3 linked regions of the Oreochromis niloticus genome follow. The protein of the gene in region 3 interacts with the protein of the main gene of each other region in a pairwise test. Links are inferred from orthologs where the notes say so. Each region holds a gene or a part of one and is shown on either strand. Other genes may lie near its edges. The genes, in order: ckap5, memo1 and tacc1.

Region 1 (7,970 bases), on a different chromosome or scaffold from region 3:
AGGTCTCCAGAACTGTTGAAAGGAATGGCTTATTCAAATGCTCTGGAGGTCTCTACATACACACATAAAGTTTTGTCAAAAAGTTCACTGAACTCTGATATGCACTAATGTTTTTGCTCATCAAGTGGTTGAACTTAGCGTGGCTGTTGGCTTCATTTCTATTGGTGATGCAAAGGTATGTCACAGCACAGATGCTGTGCAAGAACTCCTTGCTGACACGATTACGCTGTACTTTGCTTAATTCAGCAGGAAACCGTTATCGTGCATGCGGCACATGCAATAGAAATTAATGGGTTTCAGAGCCTATGTGAAAAGGCCTTCGGGCTACTGGATTTGAGGTGAAACTCTCCATGCATTGTAAGGAGCTTCATTGTCTTGATGTCAGTGGCGTCCATCTCCTCCTTTGACCAGCTTATTATCCGAGTGGGGTGTCTAATCACTGGCAGAGCGTAGGTGTTGATTGCCTAGATCTTGTTCTTCCCATTCAGCTGACTCCTTAGGACTTGCTTTACTCTCTGCAGATATTTGGTGATTGTGGCTTTCCTAGCAGCCTCTTCACAATTCCTATTTGGCTGTGGGATTCAGAGGTCATTGTAGCTGCCCTCATTGTCTCTAATGCTGTAGCCATTTCCTTCTGGTAGTACAGTTGCTTCAGTTCTGACTGCTCCCTCTCTAAATTCACAGCCTTTGCCGAGACACAAAATCATATTCTGTACAGTATATAGCCAAAGTTTTAACAATGTGAGTATATGGCTAAAACCTTTGCTAGCTTTGAGGCATCCACTGGTGACACTTGGGCACTCTGACAACATTTCCTCCTCTCATTCCAACCATCACAAATTCCACCACCAAAATATCACTGTTACATTTACAATGAAACTGAATGCAAAAATCCTAATTAATCATCTTTGTATAATCTATTTAGTAACTGTTCTCTGAAAAAAAAAAAAAAATGTGTCCTGTTAAAGGGAAATTCATATAAATACATATGCAACAAGGCCAACCAAATAAAATATCTCCCGTTTCCACATTTTTCAGTCCAAACCACTTAGCACCACTTTCTTAAATCCCAACAGTAGCTTTTTAATGCTGAAAGACTGCTTTACTGTAGCACAATCTGGCTGATGAAAACCACAAACCACTTTAATGGAGTTGCTATATTCATGCTGACTTTAATATACCAGACACTGGCATACAAGAAAAAACAAGGGCAATGGCACACTTGAGCATGTGAGACACAGTTGCCTTCTAAATTCAATACAGGGATGTGTCAGGATCTGACAGTAAATAACGTTTTGTGTTATGCACATCGTACAAGTCAGGTGTAAAACATTCTAGGTTTAAACAGTGGAAGAGCTTGATATAAAGCAGGTCTCCTCTGGATGAATCAATTAATCCAATTAAGCTGCTGGATAAATCTATAAATCTGACTTTAAAGCTCCTTTACCTTTAGCACCAACTTGGATCAACTCGACTCAGATCAACTGGTTTGCAATCAAGTACCATCTAATGTGCGTGGTTGTCGTCATAGCCAGTGTCCAGTGATGTAATTGGTATGCGACAGGAACACTACAGCAAAGATGGAGTTCAAGGCAAGAACATACCTGCTGCTCAGTCTGTAGCTTTTCATCGGACTCTGGGACCATGGCATTGTTTTTTGTAGCCATTTCCCTTGTTGCCAGGTTTCAAAAACGGCAGTTTTGATTTTCGTGAATGAGACTGTCTCATGACTCGAGTGATGCCACTGACCAGACAATCAGTGGCATGCAGTCTGACGTCACATTTTAGTACCTGCTCAAATCACTTGGAACCCCAGCCGAGCAGGTACTATGACCTAATGGAAAGCCCTAAAAACCGTGGCAAGTCGATCCAAGTTGGTACTAATGGAAAAGGAGCTTAATGTTGTGAAAGGTAGAAGATCCAAAACACAGAGAATAGGTGAGGGAGAGAGATGAGTTAGAGAAAGAGTTGACAACTACCCAACAGGAAAGAATGGAAAAAGAGAAGACATCCACGAAGGAGACAGCCGTAAACAGCATGTAAAAACTGATGATGTTCTTAAATTCAGTCTCACATTTGATTACTTTTCTCAGGTATATCTGAGTAATGTAAATTTGTGACTTTAGTGAAATAGCCTTAGAAACAAATTACAACTCAACACATGTGATCAGTGAGCTCTCCTACTCAAAAAAAGCAGCACTACACCTCTAGCTCTCAGTATTACAGAACTTAAACTAAAATACAACCAAATGAGCACAGCTAACCTTTATCAACTAGATTCCCCCTTAAATACACCCAACCAGCTGCTTTTCGGTCTGGTTACAATCACTTTGGTTATCAACCGTGCCGTCAATTACCCATTTCACTGATTGTTTGCTTTCCCGGTTTGTATGGGAGTGGCCAGCATAACATAACTAGCAATCGTTAGTTACTAACGTTAGTTACTGAGGGCCATTAACTAGCTAACTTAGCAACAACAGTGACAGTTGCTACGTTACCCCGTTAACCGCTCATTCTGGTCCAACCCGCATCAACACACACGGCTATCGCTAATGACAAATAAACATTGCTAAACATGTCGTGCAAAATTGTATTATGCATAAGTTATTTTCAAAGTCAAACCTCGCCGTTAATTTACTGGTGGTTGATAATAGCTGTTAGCTGATTAGAAACAAGGCTACAAGCTAACCTTCCATCCGCGCCAACATAACCAGGCCTAACAGCGCAGTTCGCAGCTACACACATTACATCACAACTAGCTCCGATTCAAACATGATTTGTAGTTGCTTAAAATAATAATAATATTAATAATCTTTAACATAATACCTGTTTGCGGCTGTTAAAAATTACGATGCTGCTTCTCCAATTCGATGAGGATGATAGTGATCACTGTTGCGGGTCCAGTCGAGTTTTATACAAGTGCTTCTCTGCCTCGAAGGAGATTCAACACTGTTCCGGTACAAAATAAAACAGACAGTTGGGCCGTTTCCTATCTAATACAAATTTTAAATATAATTTACATAAATTGCGTATTCGTTAAAAGAAAAACTTCGAAAAAGTATTTCTGGGCTGGGATGTGAAAATATTTGTTTTTCTGTCTGTGAAATATGCGTGTGTTGAACTCTTATTTTAAACGCAAATGAACGCCCACTTCCGATTTCGATAAATACGTCCAACTTCTTTCAGCTTTTTCAAATTTCTCCAGAGCCGGACAGACAGAGGCGGGGCGGAGAGCGGGACACCACCCCAACGACGTCACTCCAGTACTGAATCACTTTTAATATTTAGTCCGACTGCATAAGCAACCTGTCATGGACAGAGAAGAAGCAGCACACAAACAAAATGCTACATTCATACAGTGACATTTTACTTACGTGACTACTTATTCATCTAATGGGCTTCCTTGTTTTTCACTAGACGGAGACAGATGTGGAGAGAGATTGGTTGCGTTTGAAATATGCTCCGCCTTCAATGTGTGAATTTCCTTAGCTGATTGGAACAACGCGTGCATTGCTTTCTCAGAAGAGATTTCATTGGCTACTCTGAAATTAAGTCTATCTCAAAACTACTATTGTCTATGTAAACACTACTTGTTTGTTTCGTGCACGCCCTTTAAACTTTAGTTATGTGCAGTTTGGGATGAGCGATGTTATACCAAAAACCTCTTGATGCATTCTCAATCATCCAGGAAAGTAAATCTCCAAAAGTTGAATCTGTTCATCTGGACGTAGCGTTTTGTGGGAGAAACGTTTCTCCCACAAAACGCTACGTCCAGATGAACAGATTCAACTTTTGGAGATATACCAAAAACCGATTTCCGATGTTTTTATGTGTCTTTTACGGTCGAATATTTTTACTCATATTAGTACATAGACAGTAGTGAACATGATTTATGATTGGGTTATATATAGAAGAAAGAAATAGCCTGTTGTTGAAGTATCTTTATGACTCTGCGTATTTGTACCCATATTGTCATCAATGCAGTGCGTTTTGGTCACTTTAAGTAAGTTTATAGAACTGTTATGTTATGTTTGTTACAATTTCTGCTGCCCTCTTGGCCCTCTCGAAAGACACATTTTTAATGTCAACGACACTTTTAATCCGGGTAAATAAAGGATATATAAAACTCTCTCCAAAGCTCAGTGCAGAATTTGATGGCCACCATAAAATGATTGTGTCGTGTCAAGGTAGGTAAAGGTAGGTATATCTGAAGGAATTAGTTTCCCCTGCATCTGGAGGACGCGCTGGGCAGGGAAACCGGATCCAGTTGACTCCGCCTCCATTCAAACTAAACAGACGTGGAAGTCGTGACGTTTTAGTTTAGTGAGAAAGTAAAAGATGGGTGTCGTTAAATTACCGTTCAGTTTGTGGGTTACAACAGAAATGATACATTTGTTGTTCTCACATATTATCGGACGGGATTATTTCAACAAACCGACGACATTATGCCTGGTAATATGTATCCTCCTGTAATTTGATTGTATAAAAAGCTAAAACCTCCAAAATTTCAGTAGTAACAAGTCATTATAAGAAATGTTTGCAAACTAAAAATCAAGAATGACGGATACTGTTTGTCCGTGATTTGGACAGGCCAGCGCATGCTCCCGACACAGGGGAACCTAACTGTGTCGGGGATCCCTACCTTGTCAAGACCCGTTCATTGTGGGTTGTTGCTGTTGTTGACAACAATAAGAGTAGAGATAATTTCTTTTCATTTGTTCATATGTTTTAATTACATGAGTACACACATTTCAATATCAGCTGGACATAGCACACCAAGGGCCATGCACAGTTTAATTTTTTAGTGATGGCTGTGATCATCAATACAATTTGTAAATGTTTGTGTTTATTTAAAAGGGATAACACTTATTAATTAACGTGAGCACTTAAATTCATCATGTAAATATGCCAGATTTACCCACAGACTCATTTTCATAAACCCTGGCAGGTTAATGGCATATTAAATAAATCAACAAACCAAACATTTTGAAGCGTGTGAACATAAGTAAAATACAGAAACACTTGTGACATAAACACATGTCCTTATACCATTATTAAAGATCAAACACTATGATCACTTACAAAAAATCCCCCAAAACATTAGAATCGGACTTTCAAGGGCATTATGTCATGACAACATGTTTGATTATCCAATAATCACTATTTCACAAATTTAGAAAAAGAAATAAAGAATGTTATATATTCTTTATTTCTGAGGGTATTGTATTCCAGGTATGAGTGGCTTGATAAGACAAAACTGACTGCCCCAAAATCAATTTGGGCTGAAAAGTGCTCTAATATTGTTGTTGGCTGTACGAAGTGACCAAATCCCAGCCTCTCTAATTTGAGTTGAATTTTAGTATCTTAAAGAATGTTTATGAAACATTTAAGTATAGAGAGTTTGTCTTTTTCCATGGATAGTACAGCCACGGATAACGGACAACACACATAGGAGACATTTGACTTATAATTCTGTGTTGTTTCTGAATCGAAATAACTAAAGATGATCTACTTTAAACATTTATATAACCAAGCACTAAGGTGTCGAATGAAATGCCAAAGAAATAAATTCTAGTAATATCCCAGCTGCACATGAGACCTATCAAACCAAAGGTGCAGGCAAATAGCACTACACTGAAAACTGTCACACCCAGTTTTAGAGAAATCGCAATCAATTTACTTGTGGGCACGCACTGCAAACAGCCTAGCTGGGAATCAGCGCTATGTATGACCTACAACCTGGGTTCTTTAAGGGAAGTGGCACAAACAAATAAACGAAAAAACAAGAAAGAGATTAGTCCGCCCTTACAAGACTCATTCTCAATCATTCATAACGGCCTTTACTGCTGGACAGACTAACCAAAACAAAATGACCAATCAATCAAAAGAACAAAAAAAGGACAGCAGAGGCAGCTTTATCTGTTGAGTTCAGGGATTTATTATGAACTTGTAAACTTGTAAGTGTTGGTATGAACTTGGTACTGCTTCCTTTTAGCATAATAAATATGGGTAAGTCAGCATGAAAGTACTGAGGAAGACTAGTTTAGTGTGATTTAAAGTGTGATGTACTGATGTCCCTGCGAAAAGTGCTGTGGTTCAGAGTGAGGGCTCAGAGATGAACTAAGTCCTCTTTTACTGCCAACAGTGGGATAAACTGAGTGAGAAGATACTGCTGGTATAGCTGTTGTGGTCCTGAGAATCTGTGGTGGATGTGACTTCATAAGCCTTTGCAGAAAGGATGGCACTGAGACACTGGACTTGCTCATACTCTGGGTTCCCTCTTTATTCTGGTACAAAGATAACAGATCACAGTCGTCATCAACAGTGTGTTATGCAGCTGCAACATTCAGGTCTGTTAAAAAGGATTAGAACTGTTATAACAGTGTATTACTGATCAGTGTACGCTGGGTAGCTAGTTAACTAGTGCCGTTAGCTAAAATGATCATTCACTCTGGTTTTTGCTGCTGCTCCTAATGAGGAATGGGGGACTGCTGTGTCTGTGTTAATTTCCTAATCAACCACAGTGCTAATGTACTAAACAAAGTTTTGAAGGAAACCAGGCTCAGTGCTTTGTAGTTGCGAATCCAACATGGTGAAAAGAGGACAGAGGCCTTCTGATTGGCTGACCTCTACTGCCGTTACCCGCCCCCCCATACCTTCCCTCCACCACCACCAACACCCCTTTTTATCCCCCTTCAGTTACAAGTGCAAGTTTTGAAATGCTTTTCTCCCAAGAAGTGTTGCAAAATTGCAGAATAATGATCTGACTTGAGAGGGAACAGTCGAGTGCTTGTATTCACTGATTTAAGAGGTTGTAATCACGGAGATGTGGTTGTAAGCAGTACAAAAATTAATTAATTAATTACTTTAAGTAAAATTTAAATGAGAAGTTTGCAGCTCACAGTGTATTTGCTGATGACACCACCTACATAGGACTGATTGGGTGATTACATAGAGTGATTCAGCCTACAGAGAGGTGGTTCAGCATCTGAAGCGATGGTGTGACAACAACAACCTACATCTGAACACAGCCAAGACTAAGGAGATGGTAATTGACTTCAGGAGAACAAGGCGATCTGAGCACTCCGCCCTCTACATTGATGCAGCTTCAAGTTCCTCAGGGTCCACATCTCGGTAAAAACCTTACCTGGTCTAAAAACATTTCCCAGCAGGTAGGAAAAGCACAACAAAGGCTGTACTTTCTCAGGAAGCTGTAGCAGATGCAATTACTCCAGACTTCTAATTTACTTCTACCGCTCCACCACCGAGAGTCTTCTGACCTATTGCTGCACACTCTGGTTCAACTGCTGTACTGTGGAGGACAAGAGAAAACTGCAGCAGGTGGTGAGGGCGGCAGAGCAGGCAATTGGCACTTCGCTAACCCCCCTCAGAGACATTTATACCAGCAGACTTCAGTGGAAAGCCAGTATCATCATCAAGGACCCCTTGCACCCTGGACACTCACTTTTTTTTCTCCTTCCTTACTGTAAACGCTACAGGTCGATCAGGTCAAAGACAAACAGACTCAATGTCAAGATCAAGGCTGTCAAACATGCCCTACCCTCACCCTGATTGAAGGTTAACTGTGCTGTTAAAATCCATGGACATTTACACTGTATTTATGAACCATATTTATTATACTATAATGCAACCAACATTCTCTATTTATATAACTGTATTTATTATAGTAGCAACCAGCATTCCTATTCCTTACTTAATGCGCAATACCACTGACCACATTGCACCTTATACTGCTCTGATCACTCACTTATTCATTTTATCTATCTATCTATCTATCTATCTATCCACACACACACACACACACACACACACACACACAGAGAGAGAGAGAGATGCCAAACTGTGTTTCATTGTTCTTGTAACAGTGACAATAAAGATCTATTCTATTTTATTCTATTTGTGAGAATATCAATCTACACATTTGTGAATATTTTTCTGTAACTGTAAAT
Region 2 (8,338 bases), on a different chromosome or scaffold from region 3:
CACCCACCAGCACAGGCACGATGCTAAACTCGTCTTTGTGGCTGCAACATTGGATCACTGGGTTAATAACTTAACTTTTACATGTTAAAAACAACAACTTTTTGACTTTAGTCTCATTGGTCAACATCACTGGTGTGATTTCAACTTTTTTCACATTATGGAATCAGTGAGCTCAGTTCAAGTTCTACTACATGATCACTGTTTTTCAGAACCATGAAAATGGCTCTGTCTCCAGCCAACCTAACAGAAGGTTGTATAAATTATGCACATCCATGTGTCCCTGCACCAGTGTGATTCTGGTTTACAATATAGTGCCTGGTGCATAGTATAGGAAGTCAAGGAAGAGAACAGAAGTAACAGAGCTCTTGTACCTTATTCACTTTTGTCAGAAACAGTCAGGAAAAAGCTTCAATTTGTCAGACAGTTCCCTTTAAATGCATAGATTGATTCTTTACTTGAATGAATGTCACTCTCAGGTGCATTACCTCTCCATGGCTTTAGCAGTGTAAGGCAAGTGCATTTCAATACTGTGCTCATCTTCGTCTGTCTGCAGACTCATTCTCTCAAACAACCCAGTTTTCCAGAGGTCAGCATAAACTGAAAGAGACAGGTTCAACTTTAATTTGTGAATTTTTCATAGTCACGACTACTGATAAAGTCAGTGAGATTAGAATTCTGACAAGTGCCTAGCTGAGGAAAATCTAAATAATAAAAAAAAGCCCTGACCACAGAGTCAAGGCAATGTCTGGTCGCTGGAGGATCATTAAAAGTGTATCACCTGCCAAACTGGCATAAGGCCTGTATGTTGGAGCTCTGTGCTTGCTTCATTTCACATTTTTAAGAGCAATGACTCCAAAAAATTTGTTCTTCTCTTTGCTTTTGGCACAAAACATGTACTGAAATGTATACTGTAAATGTTATCCAAACTGTCATGGTACTACCTCACATCACTGCACATCCTCAAAATACCTTTCATGAGGATGTGCAAAATGCATATAAATAAATTATAGCACAAGTTAAGATGTAAGACATATTTGAAAACAGTGAATACCCTTTTGGTCGATTCTCAGGTCATAGAGGGGTGTTCTATAGATGTCTGCAGGTGACAGGGCACAGCGAGAGAGGGGCACATGGTGTGAAGGTCCCAGGATGAACACCCTACGACTGAAGGGCAATAGAACTTTATTTCATTAGCTGTTTTTGCAAAAAGCACAGCACCAACACTGCTGTACTCTGCTATCTACACTCACATCTGCTCAGTCTGTGGAAAAAGTGGAATTAAGATAAGCAATCATGCAAAGCATCTTCTTAAATGAGGAAGAGAGCTAGAAAACTGAATCACTTACGTAATAGAGGGATCAACCTGCTTGTAGGCATGTGCTGCACAAGCACCACAGTAAGTATACCCAGCATGGCTACAAACAAAAACAAGCCATATTACAATTAAGAAGGCATTCAACACATTCAGAAGACATTTTCTTTCCGTTTGTCATAGTGTGCTTACGGTGCTATGATGGCTCTAGCGGGTCTGATGGTGGACTGTGCTTGAGACAGCCAGCCTTCTAGTTGTGCATTCAGCTGGGATCCTGAAAAAGTTAAAAAAAAAAAAAAAAAAAATGTATGCGTATATATATTTCACTAGAATAGACTAACACTAGAATAAAGAGGGGTCACAAAATCAAATGATAACTGTAGAATCACTTTGATAAGGCTATAAGCATTTTAGATCCCTACCAATGTCTCACTGTAATAGCAATGCACTGGGCTGAAATCCAGCTGTGACAGCAGTTCATTATTCCTTGTCAGTTATTTTGGAAGGGGAAAGAAATGGATAAGAGCCCATCTTGACAAAGCCTAACATAGTATTGTCAATCTTTTATATGCTGGGCAACTGTTATTGTAAAGCTGGAGCTCATTATAATGTGTCATAATCCAAATTTAACCTTACTAAACGTGGTTAACTACACTGGAATACAATGCCTATATTAGAGTATAAACTACTTGTGTTCATGTTCACCAGTGTCAATAGTTGACAACATTAACAGCACACACAGCTGAATGATTTGTTAGAAAAACAACCAGAATGACGGTAATCAATGTTAGCTCAGCATTTGTGGTTTTGAGTATTTATCTGCTTTGTCTCATGTTCATCATATGTTGTCTCAAAAAGGATTGTAAATGGCAGCTTCTAATGGATTTTCGGGCAGCCTTTTGGAATTTAATAAAAAAAAGAAAGAAACTAGCGTACAGCTTGTGAAATGGGGGAAGGGGTGCAACATGAACCTTCAGCTTTCTGCCCTGCCCTACCCAATCCTTTGTTCTGTGGCAGGGAGCATTTGTACACATAACTTAAGCGGGTCAGGGGCAGACACCAACAAGAACACAATAATGACAATAACCGCATAAGTTAATGTAGGCAATCAGCTTCGGGAAATCTTCAGTGTAGCTGGCTAGCTAGCACGTAGGCCAGGAAGTTCTGCAATATTAGCCAAGTTAGCGTTGGTTGAGTTGATAGCGTGTCAAAAATGCTTTGTTTTGACATTTCCACGCACTATCCGAGGAGGAAGTGCTGAACACGTTCAAACCAATCGTACACCTAATGGGATAATACAGAGACGGCAGTCAATAACAGTTAGTTAGCCGACTTTTAAAAAAAAAAATCGGATGGACTAACGTTACAGCCCTGACACTGGGTATCAATTTCTGCGGTGGCAAGCCACCAGGAGCCCAGTTACAAAGCCAGTAAGTTACGCATAATGAGAAGCCTCAAAAACGAATAGAACACAAAGCATAAAACAAACAAATAAGACTGCCAGCTAGCACACAGTGTGCTAACGCGGATGGTGCTTCGTTGACAGTTACCCGAAGCAGAATACCAGCTCCCGGCGTGACTTGCTTCTCTGCACACCACTCGGTTCGACATCTTGGTTCCCAAGCCGCCTATCTTGGTTTGCTTCACTCCTGTCAGGCGAAAGATTAAAAACAAAACTCCAAAATCCTGGGTTAACTACCCGAGAGAAGAAACCAACGCCTGCTAGCTGACTTGCCTGAAAAGACAAAGGGCAGTTCGACTGGAGAATCAGCAGCTAGCTGGCTAACAAGCTCAGTGTACCGTCAGATGGCCCTTGTGTTGTTACCGGTTAATAAGTTAGCCAGGAGAGTAGCTAGGGTCCGTTTGTCATAAAGTCTGTTAATATTAGCATGTAATGCAGAAAGGCACGAATTACAGAATGTGTGTAATATGCCGATATGAAACACCCAGAACAGTAATAATAAAAGAAGCGATGTCACAGTTGGGATCTGAGGATTACAGACTTGTCTGTCAAGCCAGGCAAGGGGCGGGTCTGAAAAGAAAATGTTATCAAAGAGACGTCAGAGCGGTCCGATTGGCTGCTTGATTGTTCATCTTTACATGATTGGTTAAAAAATCCAGGAGGCGTAGCCGTTAGTAAGATGTTGTTTGATTGTGAAATTGTGCTGTCCGTCAGGTGAGCGGGTACAGCGTGGCAAAGAAGCAGGGACGTCAATAGGGCATCAACAAAAATGTACCTATTCCTTTTCTTAGCATTGAAAGGAGTACTTTTGCTACCAGTGATTGTAGAAAACAGTCATTTCCACAGTCATTGTTTGCTATCATGAGAGAATTGTGACTGTTTACAAACTAATTGCTTTTCTCATGGATTTAAATTCAATTCAACTATTTATACAGCGCCAAATCACAACAATGCCTCAAGGCACTTTATATTGTAAGGTAGACCCTACAATAATACATACAGAGAAAAACCCAACAATCATATGACCCCCTATGAGCAAGCACTTTTATGAGGATGGAAGGAAAAGCTCAGTTTTAACAGGAAGAAACCTACAGCAGAACCAGGCTCAGGGAGGGCCGGCCATCTGGGTTGGAGTGAGAGTTGGGGTGAGAGAAGGAAGACAAGACAAAAGACATGCTGTGGAAGACAGCCAGAGATTAATAACAAGTATGATTCAATGCAATGAGGTCTATTAACACACAGTGAGTGAGAAAGGTAACTGAAGAAGAAATACTCAGTGCATCATGGGAATCACCCAGCAGCCTACACCCATTGCAGCATAACTAAGGGAGAATTCAGGGTCACCTGATGGAGCCCTAACTATATGCTTTAGAGAAAAAAGGAAAGTTTTAAGCTCAATCTTAAAAGTAGAGATAGTGTCTGTCTCCCGAATCCAAACTAGACGCTGGTTCCATAGAAGAGGGGCCTGAAAACTGAAGGCTCTCTCTCCCATTCTACTTTTAAATACTGTAAGAAAACTGGATGACAAAAGACAAAACTTGTGTTCTCTATTTTCAAAAAGACAGTCTAAACCAGAGATGTCAAACTCATATTACATCGTGGGCCTGCAGTCCACTTTAGTCTGTACCAGAGAAACTGCCTTTTTTGTTAATGGAAAGATGTTTTAATAACATATTTAATCCCTGAGCTATCTTAATATAGGAAGAAGTGAAATTTCAACAGTATGTCTCAATTTTTCTGCATGATAAAGAAATGCTGCCATAGTGAATAAAAAAAATACTGTCAGTGCAGCACTTTGGGCTTTTTACTGTGGACCCACTGTAAAAAAAAAAACCCAAAAAAAAAAAAAAAAAAAACCTCTATAGTACATTGTGGAAAAAGCATTATCTTCTGTAACTTAATTGTTTATCTGTTACTCAGTTCCTGTGTGTAGCATGAGTGGCCATGAGGGAGGTCTTTGTCTATTGGAAAAGCTGTAAAACTGATAAAAATACAGCTAAAAGTCCTATGCCTTCTTTCATATTTTAGCAGGAGATCAATATGACAGAGCAAACAGACAATAAGATAAAATTGTTAACAATTGTTTACTTTTGTCGCTCCTGCCCCAGACACATCTGTCCAGTAAGTGGGCTGAACATTCTAACAACACAGGTGTGAAAACCCTGTTGAACTTGAGTTCAGTCAGCTTATTGGCTTATTGGTCAGACACATCTGCTTTATTGGCCAGATGTGTTTGGTGCAGACTGAACATTCTAATGTGCTTTGTAGTGGCGCATTTTTGTTTGCTTGGATTTCCTCTGTGTGAAAAGAGCTTATTTATCAGCTTATTTAGGTATGAAAATGCCCTTTAAAAGGAGAAGAGACAAATGACACTTAATCTTGTCCTTCCAAAACCAAAGCCAGTTTCCAAAATCCACCCTGCAGATGTTTCCAAGGATATCTGGCCCTACTATGCTGTAACAAGTACATTATGTCCTGTGAAGACATTGCAGGACAGTATTTGGAAAAGTGCTTCAAGAAATTGTCGACTTTCCTGCTTTAAGACCTGAGGTTATTCCTTCTAAATGTTTTTAATTCTGTTTACCATAATTATGCTCCTCAGATTTATTTTCTGTTTAGCTTTTGGGTGTTGGATAACAATGAACACTAATGTTTGTCAAAATAGATCTGTTTCACTGTAGGTGGTTTTGTGGGACTGACATAACTTTTCTGCAAACATTTAGATTTGTGGTTGAGTCTTGTTAAAGTGAGACTGTGTTCTCAAACAAAAATCAGCATCACAAATCAGTATGAGCACATTATTACACTAATACGAATGTCTAATGACAGTTATTTATCTTAACATACTTTTAGCTGGTCTTCAGAGTTGTCTCACTGATCTTCAGTGGTTAGTTTCGTGCCAGCACTGGTGGGTCGTTACACCTTTTGTCCATCATGGGATGGGAACAAGTACTTATCAAATAAAGCTGTAGTCATGTTGTTATACCTGAATTCAGTTTTCATCGAACCATATGGGTGCAGCACACAACACGGGTATTGTGATAAGAAATGGGTGGATCTAAAAGAAAATGTGGAATTAAAAAAGACTGAATGGCTAACCCTTCCCCTTTTAAAAATGTAATCTTGAAGCAAATAGCTGCCATGTTACATGCTTTGTTTTTTGTTTTGTTTTAAAGAGAAATAGTAAGTGCACATTATTAAGGTTTTAGATAAAAAGATTTTCAGTGTCCCGGAAATATGCACACATAGCATGCTTTTAGTCTGGAATTCAACCGGAAGTTACTTCTTGTTCTATATAATTTTTCTTTAATAAAAAGGAAATTACGTAATTTTTTTAAAAAATGGCTTTGCTTCTTTTGCGTTACTTATACTATATAAGAGATAAAAGAAAATATGTTTTTGTTTTTACCTATAATTAGTGTATGGGACTAATGGGACTGTAACGGTACATTCATGAGAACGAGCTCTGCGGGCGGGGCGGAGTCTGTCTGGGTCGCTCGGTAAACCGGAAGCTTGTGTTGGAAATGTTTGTGTTGTCACGAAGCGCCAGAATTTTTATTCTGTGAAGTTAAAGCGTTGTGTTTTGTCCCAAAGAAAGAGGACTGCATCACCTTCAAATGCGATTTAAAGCCTAAACCTTTTCGTTTATGACTAGCTTACCGTGTTATGACTGAGAACAGGGGGGAAGTAGCGCGAGAGTAATGTCGACCAAAACAAACGCAAGTAAGCCCAAAGACAGCGCTGAAGTTATAAAAAACATCCACAAGCAGGCGTTTGAGTATATATCCAAGGCACTGAAGATCGACGAGGACGACACAGGTTTGTTTATTGTGTTATTAATTTTTATTGAGTTATTAACTGCTGTTGTACGTGTGCAAGAGAGTAATAAACACCTCATCCTTTCTGTCATAACAGGAGAGAAGAAGGAGGCTGTGCAGTGGTACAAGAAAGGGATTTCTGAGCTTGAAAGGGGTATTGCAATAGAGCTCACTGGGCAAGGTATTACAAATACATCCAGGTATGCTGTGAGCTGTCAATCAGCTGTAACTTCATACTCAGTGTATTTTTAGCAGGAGAGCAGTATGACCGAGCAAAGAGACTTCAGGATAAAATGGTCACCAACCTCACCATGGCAAAAGACAGGCTTACCCTTTTAGGTGAGTTGGCCTTGATTATTTTTATCAAAGTAATGTAAGCTGAGAAGGCATGCTGAAGATCATCAAATGTCTTCCTTCACAGAGACGACACTGGCCTCTAAAAGGAGAAATGACCCCCAAGGGACATCACGTCATGCCCTTCCACAGCCAAAGTCAGTTCCTAAAAGTCAACCCGCAGGTGTTTCCACCACCATCAGACCCTCCACTCCTATAAGACCTTCATCAAGACTAACTGATGCAAAGGTTTGTGGTTTTTTTGGTTATTTAATAGTGCAGGCACATGCCATTTGAAGCTACCTGTCTAATGTGTAATGCTTTCTGGAACAATCTTATTCCTGCTAAGACAACCACTCGGGTGGGAAAAACTCAGAATGGAAGACCGGCAGCTGTGAAACAGCCCCCGAAGAGGGATATGAAAAACTTCAAGAATGTGGACAGCAAGCTGGCCAACTTAATTATGAATGACATTGTAGACAGGTATCAGAAGCATCACAATCAACAAGACATTTTTCCCTGGGTGAAATTTAAACAAAATTATTGCACATTTAAAATATTTCCTCTGTTCACTGCAGTGGAGCGACTGTGTCATTTGATGACATCGCAGGGCAGGATCTGGCAAAGCAAGCACTTCAAGAAATTGTCATCCTTCCTGCCTTAAGACCTGAGGTTATTACTTCTAAACTTCTTCTGTCTGCTTACCATGAATATACTTTCAAAGTTTTTCTTTGTTAAGATGCAAAGGTTTTTTTGTTACATTTTCCTGTTTAGCTCTTTACTGGTCTGAGAGCTCCTGCACGTGGCTTGCTTTTATTTGGCCCACCAGGAAATGGGAAGACCATGCTCGTAAGTTCATTTTACAGCACAACAAATCATATGAGTCACGTTTTAAACTGTTTTGTATTTTGCATATAGCTGTTGATAGCCCTCATTATCCTCAGTTGAATCACAGCCATTTATTTCCTCTTGCAAGGCCAAAGCAGTTGCTGCAGAGTCTAATGCAACATTCTTCAACATCAGTGCTGCTAGTTTGACCTCCAAATACGTAAGAAACACTTTTAACAGTTTTTAATGAGTTCTCTCTGCCTACTAGTTCATTTTTTTCCTTCTAAATGTTTCATGTCGTCACCATCACAGGTGGGAGAAGGCGAGAAGCTTGTACGAGCACTGTTTGCAGTTGCAAGAGAGTTGCAGCCCTCAGTCATCTTCATCGGTGTGTGTTACACTAAAGAATAGATGTGCCTTAAACACCAGTCTATCTCAAAAATTTTCAGCTCATGAATAAATCTCACTGTTTACTGTTTGACACTCAGATGAAGTGGACAGCTTGCTCTGTGAAAGGAGGGAGGGGGAGCACGACGCCTCTCGCCGTTTAAAAACTGAGTTCCTCATTGAGTTTGACGGGGTAAG
Region 3 (7,620 bases):
TTGTTGAACCTGTTGAATTCCAGAGCAAAGGCCTTTCCCACACTCTGCTACAGGCTCCTCCTTTTCGTGATTCAAAGGACAAAGTCAAGGCTTCATCACACCCGAAATCCTTCCTCATCTGCAAACCAGCTTACATACCAAGCATGCAGAGCATGTTTGGCCACCTTCAGGTATTAACCTTAATTATGTTTAATGAAGTGCATTCTGCATTTGACTGCTTGTCTGTACCCCACATCGGAAGTCTGAATACTTAGTAGGTAATAGATTTTTCCTGCGAATGATGAGAAGTTCGGACGTACTCGATCACACAAACGTTCATTTTAGCATTAAAAAACATTATTTTGTTGACACACTCTAAACACATTTCCCTCTTTTGTTGACTATGAAGACAAACACAAATGTGACACCTGAGCATTTAGTGAAGCAGCTACTCGTTTCCATGGCAACCTTGAGGCTACTGCTTTGTGTTGTGCACTCGAACACGCATTTCTTCTCATATGTTGAAAATTGTAGAGCTACTGCTATTGAGATTTCACAGTGGACAGCGTCTCATCATTGCATTTCTGTCTGTCTGCTGTTGGCCTCACCTGTTTTGTCTGCATCAGTGTTGTTGTTCTCCAGCTCTCCTGGGATGGTCGGAGGGGCGCGGACAGGAGTCGCTGCCTCAGGAGTGTCAAAATGACCCTCTGAGTCAGAGCTGTGGTAGAAATGAGAGAGAGAAAGATTAAAACATTCAAAACATTAGAAAGGAGCACAGAAGTGATCATATTACAAAAACAGAGAGCACGACATAGAAAAACTCCTGCTGCCAAAAATCAGAAAGATAAATAAAAACAAAAAACATACAAAAAACCCCCCAGATGCACTATATTGATTCATGGTATCATAATGTACAGATGGTCCCAGGTCAGACCAAGTGTGGAATTCACCTCTTGTGCTACGTAAATAAATACTTTTTAGAAGCATGAAGAGGTGAAAATACAACTTCATGCAACCCCCTGGTGGTAGCATCACCACCTGGGGGTTAATAGTACTACAGAATACCCGGAAATGATTTCCATATTGATTTAGAGCAGGGGTGTTAAACATTAGGCCTGGGACCAGAACTGGCCCAACAAAAACTGCCCACTGTCGGTCTTTGGGAAATGTAAAGGAGGGCAAACAAATTGTTAAAATTAATTTTACTTATAAAAAAACTCCCCCATGGAAAATCATAACACACCAAAGTAATTAAGTAAAAGATAAACAATTCAATGACAGAAAAATTCATGTTTTTTGACATTTTCTTTGTTCCTTTTCACAATTACAGGACAGTCAAGGCAACAAGCAACCAGAATTTCTTTCTAAAATTTTAAGCATTCATTTCTTATAATTTAAGCCAAAAGAACTGTGCTGACAGACGTCTTTCATTTACTACAGCAGCATTTCTTTATCATGTAGAAAAGCTGAGATGAATTGTTGAAAATGTACATGTTTTTCTTATATAAAGATATCTGCAAGTGACAATGCATATTTAAACTTATACTGAAAGGAAGAGCAATTTCACAAGTGACGCATGATGTCATTGACATCTAGAGGATACTGAGTAACAAAAATCAAATATAAAAATCATATTTTATTGCAACTTAAATGTGCCACTGTCCCAGCTATTATCCTCTGCTGTTGTATTATGCCTTGGAAAGACTCAGTATTGTCTGAACTGGTGAAGGAGTGAAATACAGATAAAGTGAAAGATACATAGAGGAAGAGGAAGTGCAAGTAAGCCAGCCCACTATTTCCTGTTACATTGTTAGAATCATGGGGTATGAAGTATAAAACTGTAACATACAAGCTGTAAATGATGTATTAACTCAGAATATGAACATTAAAACAGAATAAAATGATGTGTGATTTTATAACATTGCATCATTCGATTAGATCTAGCAGTAAGAATTGCTGTTGCTCTGGTTGAATCTAATTGCACAGGATAGTAAACATGGATTTTGTCATTTGATTACTTGATACCCAATGACAGGATATTGTGTCTAGTTGAGTGTGCAAGAGTGGAAACAGTTGTGAATTTACTTGGAGCAATAGCAAGTATCCATAGTGTCAAGGCAGACATGAAAAGCAGGTACTTGAGAACCTGATGACTTGGGAGCCTGTCGTGTTTGTGTGATCTGAGCGATGATTACCTCGTTGAGCTACCTGCCTGTGCAGTGTGTGTGCGTTCTTGTACAGATCTGACAACGTGCCAGTGAGTCTAAGAAAAACACTCAAACGTGGTGACAATCGAAAGCACAGCCACACCGCAAATGTGTCCGCCCTGCAGGACAACGCAGCACGCGAAATATAAAAAATGACACCAATATTTTTTCTCCTCCCTTCCCTTGGCCTATTTCATCAAACCCTTAAAACAGCAGGGATTCCTCAACCTGACAGGCCGACGAGCAGGTAAATAAAACTGTGTGAGCCACCCTGTCAGTAGTCTTGGGGGCTCCAGCGCAACACTTGCCTGCAGCCTTGAGATCTCTCCTCCTCGTCTTCCTCTACTCTCTCTCCACGTTGCTCCCTCTCCTCGCTGGCCTCCTGCCCGTCTTCATCCTCCTCTCCCTCTCCCCCGCGCACTGCCGTCCATGTCCATTTAGCCCATGACACGGGTGAGAGCCAAGACATCACTCTTTATTCCAGCAGGGTCCTCTGACCCTCTCTCACCGATAGCTGTGGATTAGTTTCCAGCACTTGACTGATCCTTTTCTGATTCTTCCTCAGGTTTCCACCCAACCAACAGCTCTCACATCTTTCTATAGAGGTTCCCACTTCTCACAGTTCTCAGTTTCCCATGAAGGGAACTACACATTTTTACACTACCCTACTTGTATATCACTAATCTCGAAATTACAAAGACTTGAGCTGGGTTCTCTGTCCTTCTTATTCTTATTTCCAGTCACGCTCTCTTCTCTGTCTCTCTCTCCCCCTCTGTCTCTGTGGCCGAATACCTCAGCTCTGATCAGCTGGTTTATCAAATGCTGTGCTCACTCTCTTCTCCTCTCAACCCCCTACAAACTCTCCCCTCCACCTCGGAACAGCTCACTGACAGAAAATGCAGTGGGGGAAGGCAGTGAGCTGTCAGCTCGAAGAATGAATGCAGCTTCTCTTTAGGTTTCTACATGACTTCCCCCGCGGTTGAAGAATGGTACGTCCCTGTCAGGCCGCTCTTCCACTCTGAAGCAGAAGGAGGGAGTCACAAAACACACACCGAGGGAGGAGGAGGAGGAGAAGGCCTAGGGAGTGGAGGTAGAGGAGGAGCAGAGCTGTTTGGGGCTCCACATTTTATAGTCCAGGGAGAGGTTAGGAATGTGGGGCTGGATCTTAAAGCCCCTCCACCCCCACTCCTTTGTAGACTGTTTAACAGTTAACTGTTTCTCCCATCCAGTGGCAGCCAGGCATGCATGACCAGGGGAACCAGTTCTGCATTTCTGTTGGAAAGCCCCAGGAGATATACCTGGCTGGATTCAATTTGTCTGAGGTAGCAGTTCAGACCACTGAACTGGCAGGAAACCAAAGTCTTCAATGCAGTCAGTGACGGGTGGTAAAAAAAACCCCACTGTAGCAACTTAGAAAGAGAAAATTGGGTCTTAAATCTCTCAACAGAGCAATAAAATGCCCCTCTAAATACAGCAAAAAAAGTCATTCACTACATTTCCATGAAAACCAAGAAAAAAATTAATAAATCTGTTATATATATATATATATATATATATATATATATATATATTACAGAGAGAACCCAAAAGTGGCTTGCTTCTAGGACAATGACTTCAAATGTGCTTCTTTTTATTAAACGCAAAAAAGCGGAACTGATTTATTCTGTTTTTCTTAAAAGTTGAGAAAATCTGTCATCCTGCCAACTATATCAGTCCTATATTTACTTTTACACAAGACAAACAAAGCAACAGATCATCTGGAGAGTAGTTTAAGTTGATCTAGTTGGTTCTAGATATAAGAGAAGTCTAGAAATATCCACTCAGTTGTGCGAATTTATGAAAACAAAGCTCACAGAGCTCCATAGTTGCTTAATTTGCAGATGTTAAGCTACTGACAATGTCTGTAAATTAATATATCACATGACGAGACAATCTCAAGCAAATGATGTCAGTAAAGAAGAAAAACACTCACAATACACATACAGTACAGGGGGCAATGGCAAATCCATGGATAACTGGCTAATAAGAGCCATACAGTAGTTTTTGCTGTAGATTTTCTGCACTCCTTCAACCACCTGCTGCAACAGCAAAACCTTCTTGTGTTCACCCAGACAGACAGCACGATAATACATCCTATTTCTATAGTCTTGTTGTATTAAGGTGCCAGAAAATTCAAGGATTGGTTTGTCTGCTGAGCGGTTAAACTCCTCCCAAATTCCCATCGAGGACCAAATACACACACGTGCTTCAGTCAGGCTCAAAGTTTCCACATTTGACCAGAAAGGGTGGAGTTTTCTACCCGCTTATTTACAGTCTGATTCTGGTAAAGATTGTGCCTGAAGTGAGGACAAAAACTGTTCCTGCATACTAAAGACATCATCTCACAAGCATGAAGAACTACTTGTGCTTTTATCTTGGAGTTGGTATCTGTTTATTTTATTTTTTTGCTTGTGAAATGTTTGTTTGTGAAAGACAACATTTTTACTTTTTTTTATTAATTCACAGAGTAGCAGCAAAGCCCTACTTTGGTTTTACTAGGAGAATAGATTAGCATCTTCCCACAAGTTATACTAGTGGTAATCCTGATCACTGATCGATATTTACGTCACGTTTGCGTGATAGAAACAAAGGTGTGTTTCAGTGCAGAAGAGGAAGTCTGCATATTTACACCTTCTAAACCTTATAAATAGCTCCTTCTATCGATGGTGAGGGGTCTCTGAAGATGCATGTGAGAGAGGGATAAGCATGTTATATAAGTAAAGGTGCCTATTACTTCCCCTACTAAAAAATATACATATAAAATGAGAACTATAAGTTGAGATCTTTTCAAAAAAAGCCAGAAAATAACATTGAACTGAGTACTGACATCTTTTGTTTGCTTTTTACAAACTATCGAGGTTTGTGGACCAGTGCTTTACTTATCTAAAAACGGCATCAATAAACATCAGCATGAGACAGCTGTGTGTGTGTGTGTGTGTGTGTGTGTGTGTGCACGCACGTGTGTGTGTGTGTGTGTGTGCGTGTGTGTCTCCAGATAAAAGACCACCCCATACTTAACGGCTGCCACAGCCACAGACCAGAAAGCTTCAGCCAAGGAGTCTGAAGCACCACCAGAATCCAAACACAACTCAAAAGAGCTCAGATTTCAAGCCCAGCACGAGGTAGCCAACAGGCATTTTCTAGAAAACAGAAAGTCACTAGTACCAGACAGAATAACAATCTGGCCTCTCCCGCTACTGTGATGTTTATTCTAAGCTGACACATCAGCTGAAATTCTGACTTTCCTACTACAAATGCACTAATTGCACACTTATGTTTAGTCTCTGTGTCAATATGACTGTAACCGATATTGGAAACAATGCGGAGATCAAATGTGCAAACTGTATTCAGGCTGTGTCAACAGTCATCACTTTAAATGTTCTATCACCATAAATAGAGTGGGAGACAATAGAGGAACCATGTGATTATATAACAGCCATTCCTGTGGAGCCTAAAATAAGTGCAGACACACAAAGAGATGGCTTGGTCTCAGCAAATCCCAGAAAACTAACTGAATGTTCCTGGAAATTAATTAATGTAAAAAGAATGGGACATAAAGGGCAGAGGATGAAGAGCCGAGGAGAAGGAAAACAAAGAGGAAGGAAAATAATGAGCACGCTGCCACAAGGCTGCAGTAGCTATGTGTGTGCGTGCTTGAGGAACAGAAACGGAGAGGAAGAACCTGCAAATAAATAACCCATGCCAGCACAACGAGTTTCTTACTTCTGCCTTGTGAGGAAAACTAATACGTCAGGCCTCTAACAGCAAATGAGTGAAGCTCTAAGTGACACACTTGCAGTAATATGACATGGCAGTTTCAACAGCTAGCTGAAGGAAAAACTACAAGATGTGATCACATTCTTCCAGAGATGAGTGCAAGCAAAACTACTGCAAATGTCACACCACGCCTCAGTAATCTGCTCCTCTGAGCTGGCAAGCTGCAGAATCAGTGGACTGCACAGGCATCTAGTGGTCAAAAAGCATAATAACAACCAGAAAAACTTCACAAAATTTCATCAGGTTAAAAACTTAATAAAAACCATGCATTATCTTTTTTTACCGTAACTGCTATATGACAAGCACACATAGAGTAAAGTCTCGGTTTGTAGTCAACAGGCTCAGTATTGCTAAGAAGGTAATTTTTTGTGTATTACTCAGAAAACTGACTTTTCCCATCCATCCATCCATCTTCTTCCGCTTATCCAGGGGGCCAGTTCACAGGGGCAGCAGCCTAAGCAGAGAAGCCCAGACCTCCCTCTCCCCAGCCACCTCCTCCAGCTTGTCTGGGGGAACACCAAGACGTTCCCAGGCCAGCCGAGAGATATAATCTCTGCAGTGTGTCCTGGGTCTTCCCCGGGGCCTCCTCCCAGTGGGACATACCCGGAACACCTCACCCAGGAGGCATCCTTGTCAGATGTCCAAGCCACCTCAACTGGTTCCTTTCGATGTGACTTTGTCCATGACGTGCTTAAGTTCATGGAAGTGATTGTTAAACTGGTACTCTGTCTTGAAAAAATATTTGCCCCCTTCCTGATTTCTTAGTTTTTGTGAAAATTTCTAACTCTTACACTACCAGTCAAAGGTTAGGCCACACCTTCACATTTAATGGTTTTACTTTATTTTTACTACTTTCTAAATTGTAGATACATGCTGAAGACATCAAAGATATGAAGCAAGATATATGGAAATATGTAGCAGAGAAAGAAAATGATAAATAACTCTAAATATGTTTATATTTTCGATTCCTGAAAGTAGCCATCCTTTACTTTGTTGACCGCGCTGCAAATCCTTGGTCTTCTCGCAATGAAACCTGAAATGCCTGAAATGATTTTCAGGGTTCATCTGTGGAATTTCTTGCCTTCTTAATGGGGTTGGGACCATCAATTGTGTTGTGCAGAAGTCAGGTTGGTACACAGCTAACAGCCCTATTTGACAACGGTTAGAATTCATATTATGGCATTAACCAGGCATTGACAGTCCATCATTACTTTAAGAGCTGAATGTCAGTCAGTCCGGAAAATTGCTAAAAATTTGAATATGTCCCCAAGTGCAGTTGCAAAAACCATCAAGTGCTCCAATGAAAATGGCTCACATGAAGACCGCCCCAGGAAAGGAAGCCCAAGAATCATGTCTGCTGCTGAGGATAAATTCATCCGAGTCACCAGCCTCAGAAATCGCAAGTTAACAGCACCTCAGATTAGAGCCCAGATAAATGCCACACAGAGTTCCAGTAGCAGACACATCTCTACATCAGCTGTTCAGAGGAGACTGCACGAATCAGGCCTTTATGGTCAAGAAACCACCACTAAGAAAAAGCAACAAGCAGAAGAAATTTATTTGGGCCAAGAAACACAAGGAATGGACATCAGATCAGTGGAAATCTGTGCTTTGGTCC

Evidence for each region.
Region 1: the proteins of tacc1 (region 3) and ckap5 interact in binary tests that used the Homo sapiens proteins (3 or more experiments, as listed by UniProt). The link is inferred for Oreochromis niloticus from reciprocal best matches to the Homo sapiens genes TACC1 and CKAP5.
Region 2: the proteins of tacc1 (region 3) and memo1 interact in binary tests that used the Homo sapiens proteins (3 or more experiments, as listed by UniProt). The two-hybrid records come from large-scale screens. The link is inferred for Oreochromis niloticus from reciprocal best matches to the Homo sapiens genes TACC1 and MEMO1.

The regions. Positions count from the first base shown.
Region 1 is NC_031972.2:38,741,416-38,749,385, forward strand, and holds the start of ckap5 (cytoskeleton-associated protein 5), read right to left. Parts: upstream 3,155-7,970; 5' UTR 2,827-3,154; intron 1-2,826. UniProt on the Homo sapiens protein: Binds to the plus end of microtubules and regulates microtubule dynamics and microtubule organization. Acts as a processive microtubule polymerase. Promotes cytoplasmic microtubule nucleation and elongation. Plays a major role in organizing spindle poles.
Region 2 is NC_031978.2:23,301,498-23,309,835, forward strand, and holds the start of memo1 (protein MEMO1), read right to left. Parts: upstream 3,361-8,338; 5' UTR 2,924-3,360; coding exon 2,863-2,923; intron 1,587-2,862; coding exon 1,505-1,586; intron 1,416-1,504; coding exon 1,347-1,415; intron 1,165-1,346; coding exon 1,052-1,164; intron 598-1,051; coding exon 486-597; intron 42-485; coding exon 1-41. Other genes in the region: spast (spastin), read left to right, coding at 6,476-6,593, 6,690-6,773, 6,845-6,931, 7,014-7,174, 7,275-7,408, 7,504-7,597, 7,700-7,774, 7,902-7,973 and 2 more. UniProt on the Homo sapiens protein: May control cell migration by relaying extracellular chemotactic signals to the microtubule cytoskeleton. Mediator of ERBB2 signaling.
Region 3 is NC_031970.2:27,575,821-27,583,440, reverse strand, and holds the start of tacc1 (transforming acidic coiled-coil-containing protein 1), read right to left. Parts: upstream 3,218-7,620; 5' UTR 2,656-3,217; coding exon 2,495-2,655; intron 698-2,494; coding exon 588-697; intron 1-587. UniProt on the Homo sapiens protein: Involved in transcription regulation induced by nuclear receptors, including in T3 thyroid hormone and all-trans retinoic acid pathways. Might promote the nuclear localization of the receptors.